2 linked regions of the Drosophila melanogaster genome follow. The main gene of each other region encodes a partner of the protein of the gene in region 2 in a complex. Each region holds a gene or a part of one and is shown on either strand. Other genes may lie near its edges. A codon is read from its position in the direction of its gene.

Region 1 (3,244 bases), on a different chromosome or scaffold from region 2:
GACGCGGAGCAGCGCTATAAGCTAAGGCAACCGATTAGTGATCTTGATGGAGTCACCATTGCCATCAAGGACAACTTTTGCACCAAAGATGTACACACCACCTGTGCCTCACGGTAGGAGACCATGAGAACCCAGCATCAGAGCAATATTATCCTTGTAGCCTTCGTTGCCAGGATGCTGCAAGACTTTGTGCCTCCCTATGATGCCACTGTGTGCTCCAGACTTAAACAAGCCGGCGCTGTAATTCTGGGCAAGACGAATATGGATCAGTTTGCCATGGGCGCCGGCACTGTGGACTCCCTGTACGGGCCGACTAAGAACATCTGGAGCGAGGACCTTAACAAGGATCACTGGCGCATCGCGGGCGGCAGTTCTGGAGGCTCTGCATCCGCCGTAGCCGCGGGTCTTTGTTATGCGTACGTACTAGCTTGTTTATGTTTTGAACACCTAACCTCAAACGCGATGGTTGAAAATGTAACATATTTGATCAAAATTAATCATCCGAGGGCTAAAAAGCAGCTGTGTCCACGGCGAGACTTGCAGATTTATTAACGGATTATGAGCGGACTCGCACTGACCGCACTTCGCATTCGCATTACATAACAGACTAAGTTTAGGGTCACTAAATGTTTAGATGATGATCTCGGTGTCGCCCAGATCCTCGTCCGAGGGCAGTGTAATGCTGGCGGGGTCCACGTAGTTGGGGCTGACCAAATCCACGCCGGCCAGTTCGCGGCGACGCAGCTCCAAGAAGCCCTCACGCTGGGCCCAGTTGCGGAACTGAGTGTCGGGCAGGTAGGCCCAGTAGAAGCTGCCCCACACCAGGCACAGTGTCACCGTAACGAAGAACGTCGACTTGGTGGCCTTGCGATCCTCCACCTGGTCCTTGTAGTCGAATCCGTAGCTCTGCCAGTTCTTGGGACTCGGATTGGCAAAGTCCTCGGTCGTAAGTGAAGTGGGGGCCGTGATGGTCTCATCCTTCTTCGGCGACGTGTTGATTGCCCGCACCACTGCCGCCTGGTTGGCGACCAGGGAACGCTGCAGCGCCACGGCGCGGTTGGTCAGACGGAACAGCGCAGACATCGCGTTGGGGAAGAAATTTCAGTCGCAAATTTCGTAAATAATCGAGTTTTCCCTTGATCGCTGGACTTCTGACAGCTGCGCAGTGTGAACGTTTGCTGCAATTTGTCAGCTGGCCGAGAGGGTAGCCACTCGATGCGGTATTTTTTCGGTATTTTACCTAGAACCGTTTTAATTTGAATTCCTAGAAACTTTGCTCGAAATAAATATTAAAATATATTCTTAATTTTCTCTTCTATATTCCAGAGCAATTGGTTCGGACACGGGTGGCTCCACCCGAAACCCGGCTTCGTACTGCGGCGTGGTGGGTCTAAAGCCCACCTACGGCCTCGTCTCCCGCCACGGTCTTATTCCGCTGGTCAATTCCATGGACGTGCCCGGCATTTTTGCCCGCTCCGTCAGCGATTGCGTGGCGGTACTGAATACAGTGGCAGGGCCGGATAAACTGGACTCCACAACCATCAGGCAGCCTTTTACCAGGTTACATCTGCCGGAAGTTGGGCAAATTGACCTGAGCACTGTGCGCATAGGAATACCAAAGGAATACCATTGCCACGGTCTTTCCGCCGAAGTTCTGGAAACGTGGTCTAAGGTGGCCGATTTGCTGGAGTGTAGCGGTGCCTCCGTCAGACAGGTTTCCCTGCCCAATACGGCAGCAAGTATATTCGTGTACACCATTCTTAATCAGTGCGAGGTGGCCAGCAACATGGCAAGGTACGATGGAATCGAGTACGGCCATCGGGCAACAGACGAGCGCAGCACGGAGCAATTGTATGCCCTATCCAGGGCCGAGGGATTCAACGATGTGGTTAAGACACGCATACTCACTGGAAACTTTCTGCTGCTGAAAAAGAACTATGATCACTACTTTGAGAAGGCTTTGCGGGTGCGCCGCCTTATTGCAGAGGACTTTGCAAGGGTGTTTGATTCCTCGGCCAAAGAGGAGCGCGTGGACATCCTTCTCACGCCGACAACTCTTACAGAGGCTCCGCTGTACAAGGACTTCGCCTCCCTGACCAACAGGGATCAGTGTGCCGTGCAGGACTTTTGCACTCAGCCAGCCAACATGGCTGGAATTCCCGCCGTGTCTATACCGATTCGCCTGTCCCAGGCCGGATTGCCCTTGAGCCTTCAGCTGATGAGCAACAGCCTCAACGAGCAGTTACTGCTCACAGTGGCACGATGGATAGAGGCGCAGGTGGAATTCGACAGCCTAGAGCACTCGCAACAGTATAAGGCCAGTTTGTAAAGCTTTTAATAAATTCTGTTTAATTGTTACAAGGGTTTTCTATTCTCTGAGACGACAAGATGGCCAATAAAATTATACGAACTTCGCACTGCGAATGAATCCGTCGCTGCTTGCTATGTATACCGTGTCGTTGGCTCCACAGCAAATGCTGTTCACACAACTGCCCACCTCCACCTCGCCCAGGGCTTTTGGCTTTCCTGCTTCCAGATCGGTCCATCCCTTAACCTTTTTGTCATAGCCGCCGGAGTACAAATAGGTCTCATCTCCGCAAAGGGCGTTTATGATCAACTCATGGCAGTCCTAAAATTAGATCAAAAGTCGTATATTACAGCTTGGATCGACATATGCAGGAAACTCACCGGCAAGTGCCAAATTTTGGAGTACTGTTGCTGCGAAAGATTGTTGACCAGTTGCAAACCCATCCCAGAGCGATCGGGAAAGGCCAGATAGCTCCGCTTGCCATCCACCATGGGCCCGAGAAGATGGAGCGGAGACTTACCTGGAATCACCGCCTTGTTGCTGTACTTTCCAGACTTGCCCTCCGCCACCTGAGACACCACCACGTCCAGGTCGCGAACAGTGTAAATGAGATTCTGCTCGCCGGCCAGTGACTTGACCTCCTCCACCAGGCTGTACTTGAAGAGCATGCGATCGTTGGTCCAAGTGGTCACCACACCCTTGTCATCGCCCGTGTAAAGCACGGATCCGTCGCAGTACATGGCCTGGATGGCGTCGTCGCAGCGGAATAGTTCCTGCACTGACTCGTCTCCATAGGGAGGCAGCATGAAGTGAACCTGGCCATCACAGCTGCTCGAGTAGACCTTTCCGTGCTGATTAATGGCCATGCAGTATATGTACGCCTCGTGAGCGTTTACAGTGGCCAATAGTTGCAGTTCCGGTGACCAGATCTGAAGG
Region 2 (3,796 bases):
GGCCAATCCACACGTGCTGCAGTTCTACAAGGGATTCAGACGCAAGCTAATGGACACAACCATGATACCATTGGGTCCCAAAAACAAGGACAAGAAGCCAGGAGACAAGGCCGCAAATAGCGCTCTGGCTAAGCTCAAAAAGAGTCTCATCAACAAGCCGCTGGTCTCGATTAGCTGAGCTCGAAAGTAATCTAAGATAGCGTAATTCTAGAAAGCTTGAACAAATTTCACTATTGCCTATCTATTGGTATCTATTTCTAAAAGTGTAATTTTTTCTTTTTTTAAGAAAAGCAAATGATTTATGGACTGTGCATTCCTTTTTTTAAAAAATGAGAAATTATGGAACTCTTTTTGAAATTGTCTAAATTTTCGAAAAAGTCTGAAGAATTACAGTGTGAGTTTTATGATTTATCACTATATTCTGTAAACTTATTGCAGTACGCAGGCAAAAACTTTATTTTACTCACTGGAACAACTTAACCAAGGCTCTTAATCTTGAGAACTATTAGTTTTAAGCTAGTCTATAGCCAAAATTCTATATCAAACGCCAATATTAATATTTATTTTAAGAAAAACATGACTAAGAATAAATGCAACTAATAGACAAATGAATTGAAACTGCTGTAGTAATAAATAATTCCTAGTAGCTCTTACCTTATAATTTACACTGAAACAATTGAAAGAAAGCTCAATCCTTGGGAATATCGTTTTACGGCGTGTATATTTTGTTTTAACGGATAATGAAACTAGAAAACATCATCATAAAAGCGGAGTTTAATGGGCGGCCTCCTCCTTCATGCCACTGCCCACTGGTCCATGACGACGCTCCCAGATCAGACGATGCTTCTGCTTCATGTACGCGGTCTTGGCATTGGCGTAGCCTCCCAAGTCGCCATCTATAATGGGTTATATCTCGTTATATATCACATACAACTTTAAAGAAGATGGGTAAGGGATTCCACTCACACTTGATGAACCAGTTCTCGGTGGCCTTCTCGTACTGATCCATCAGCGGCCTGCACTTGACCATGTGATCGGGTGCCTCGTAGAGGGTGCAGTCCTCGAAGCGCTGGCGCAGAATGTTGACAATCTCGTTGTCGACCATGCGATCCCGGCGGAACTGCTGATCGGCCTCGAAACGGCAGACGGCATCGTCCGTGTAGCACTGGTCGATCGTCGGAACGCGGCGGAAGCGCTGGTGGTACCAATTCTGCTTCTGCTGGTTCGGCTCCACAATGCTCTCTGTGGGATTAACACAAGGCGCATTAATAAAATATACTAGCTGTAATGCATTTCTGTTGAAAAACATGATCCCGCTTTGACTAGATGAACTATATAGTAACGGACGGCATTTAAGGGCTGCCGACTAGTATTCTAAGAGATTTAGTTTGCGCTAGCTAGAAATTACTTAAAACGGTTGATTATAAACATTTTAGCATTTCAGCAATACAGTGTAAACAAAAACAAATGGACTGCGAGTTGAGGTTATGTCATTATGTAATTGTCTGGAATTTGTCCGGTTTTTCCGATCGTTGGCCAAAGGAAACGCAAACTTGCAGCATCTGGAGACTCCCATGACCATGGCCATTGGGAATCCCTGTGGACTACATACCACGGAACCAAGTTATGGGTCCATCGATGACATTCAGCACCGACTCGGCAAAACTGGCCATCGGACTGCGCGGTTCCGGCATTTTCTGGCTCTCCTACCACCTGGCGTAAGCGGAAGAGCTGTTAGTAAATAATTTCCAAGGTTTTCCGCTTTCCTTTGACGGAAAATACTTAAAAAACCATATTTACTTGAAAAACTAAGTGTTAAAATTTGTTGTAGGACCGCAGTTCGTAACTGCGAAAATTCCTCAGAGCACTGAAATCAGCTGTTCGAGGTAGTGGTCACACCTATGCCGCACTGCAGCTAGCATGTTCGCACTGGCACACTGCGGTCACACTGGCTTCGCTCAGCAAAATATTGCTTGGGTAATTTTTTTTTTTAGTTGCTAATTTATTGTTTTCAACGCTGTTGCACAGTGTGCAGCATAACCATTAACAATGACTTGAGACCTCTCAAACGTAAACCAATTTTTTTTTTTTTTTTGCACGTGAAACATAGTGATAACGAAGCCACAAAAGTGAAACCAACAAAAAGCGTTCCAGTAAAGTTACCATTAGATAATGAAATCGAGGATTAACGCGGTCTAAGCATGTGTAACTGAGCTCCTACGGGCGAGGAATTGCAGGTAACTAGCCCAGGAGGCACCAGGTAGCGGAGCAGGTGGCGTGGGTCGGACCGACAAGGCACTTACTTGGCCAGCGGAGTCTCACTTTTGGGCTGAAAAACGTAAACAAACAGCGGCGTGCGTACAGTCCCGGGCATAAAAATATAGCCATCATGGCCCAGACGGCATACTTGAAGGTGACACGCATCGCGATGCGCTCCGCTTCGAATCTTTCCAAACGGCGGGTGGAGGAGCTGAACTCCGGGCTCGGCGAGCTACGGCAGCTGCTGTCTTGCGTGGTCTGCTGCCAGCTGCTGGTGGATCCCTACTCGCCCAAGGGCAAGCGGTGCCAGCACAACGTGTGCCGGCTGTGTCTGCGCGGTAAGAAGCATCTGTTTCCCAGCTGCACCCAGTGCGAGGGTTGCTCCGACTTCAAGACCTACGAGGAGAACCGTATGATGGCCGCCCAGCTACTGTGCTACAAGACGCTGTGCGTCCACCTGCTCCACTCGGCATTATTTGGTGAGCTGGCCGGGATGCGGCCCCAGGTGGCCAGGGAGCTGGTGCCTCGCATCAAGCTGCCTCCCAAAACCACACAGGAGTTCATTCGCGAGGGCTCAAACATCTCCGACACTTTTGACATCTTTCTGCCCCAGCCGGATTTGCCGTTCCTCAAGGACATGCCCACATCGCTGCCCGCAGAGACGCCGCCTACGTCGGCGGTCACGACTCCGGAACTGCCCTATGATCACCACCTCAACATCAGCGACATTGAGGCGGAGGCGGCGGCCACAGCGGAGCAGGGTCACTTCTCGCCGCTTCCCCTGCTGCCCACAGGATCTCGCATGGGCATGCTCTCTCACGCCGGGCAAATAGTCATTGCCACCGAGAGCTCGGAGTCGGGCTTCATGGACCAAGCGTGGACGGATCAGGTAGACCTGTCTGGCACGGTTTCGGTGTCCAAATACACAAATAGCGGCAACAACTTTGCTGTCTCCTACGTGATGCCCACTTCTGCGACCACGAAGTTCGATCCACAGGAACTGCAAATCGGCCAGGTGGTGCAAATGGCGGACTCCACTCAGTTGGCTGTGCTGGCTGCCGTTGAGGAGACCGTCGAGACGTCCACACAGTTGACTGTGCTCTCCACCACCGTTGAAGAGACCGTTGAAACATCCACGCAGCTAGAAGTGCTTACCTCCGCTGAGGAACCCAACGAAATCTCTGATCAATTGGCTAATCTGCAAGTTGAGGAATCTGATGAGGCTCTGGTTGAAGAGACCGTTGAAGAGGCCGAAGGGACCTCAATCCCGTCAGAGGTTGTAGCTGAGCACATGGAGGAGGATCAACACTTGGATGTGCACACTTCACAGTCACCTACACAAACCGAAATGGAGGAAGCAGTGGAGGAGCATGTTGCCACAAAAACACAATTGGGTCATGTGCAAACAGAATTGCAGGATGCGGAGTCGTTGCAGAAAGATTTTGAGGACGCAAAGGCAGCGGCTGAAGAGGCGAAGGAGAAGGAGAAGGACCTGCACGCAATCAGTGCTGAGCTGCAGAAGGAGGACAGTGACGAG

Evidence for each region.
Region 1: the proteins of ND-PDSW (region 2) and NP15.6 are in contact, whole or in part, in a cryo-EM structure (PDB 8BA0), measured with the Drosophila melanogaster proteins. Residues at the interface, in NP_651972.1 of Drosophila melanogaster: Trp40, His42, Gln43, Phe45, Thr50, Ile51, Asp52, Ala65, Phe69, Arg70, Arg71, Met74, Val75, Glu78, Ile79, Ile82, Leu83, Arg86, Ala112, Asn115, Trp116, Ile118, Lys119, Ala129, Tyr133, Gln136, Lys137, His138, Arg139, Leu140; in NP_650774.1 of Drosophila melanogaster: Gln101 (codon at 783), Phe102 (codon at 780), Arg103 (codon at 777), Trp105 (codon at 771), Ala106 (codon at 768), Gln107 (codon at 765), Arg108 (codon at 762), Glu109 (codon at 759), Gly110 (codon at 756), Phe111 (codon at 753), Leu112 (codon at 750), Glu113 (codon at 747), Leu114 (codon at 744), Val125 (codon at 711), Ser126 (codon at 708), Pro127 (codon at 705), Asn128 (codon at 702), Tyr129 (codon at 699), Val130 (codon at 696), Asp131 (codon at 693), Pro132 (codon at 690), Ser134 (codon at 684), Ile135 (codon at 681), Thr136 (codon at 678), Leu137 (codon at 675), Pro138 (codon at 672), Leu143 (codon at 657), Glu147 (codon at 645), Ile148 (codon at 642), Ile149 (codon at 639).

The regions. Positions count from the first base shown.
Region 1 is NT_033777.3:19,025,287-19,028,530, reverse strand, and holds NP15.6 (NP15.6), read right to left. Parts: upstream 1,164-3,244; 5' UTR 1,084-1,163; coding exon 631-1,083; 3' UTR 516-630; downstream 1-515. Other genes in the region: GatA (Glutamyl-tRNA amidotransferase, subunit A), read left to right, coding at 1-113, 174-416, 1,327-2,329; CG14285 (uncharacterized protein), read right to left, coding at 2,402-2,629, 2,689-3,237.
Region 2 is NT_033779.5:3,464,233-3,468,028, reverse strand, and holds ND-PDSW (NADH dehydrogenase (ubiquinone) PDSW subunit), read right to left. Parts: upstream 1,873-3,796; 5' UTR 1,695-1,872; coding exon 1,613-1,694; intron 1,243-1,612; coding exon 967-1,242; intron 897-966; coding exon 775-896; 3' UTR 695-774; downstream 1-694. Other genes in the region: Pif1 DNA helicase, read left to right, coding at 1-178; msl-2 (male-specific lethal 2), read left to right, coding at 2,390-3,796.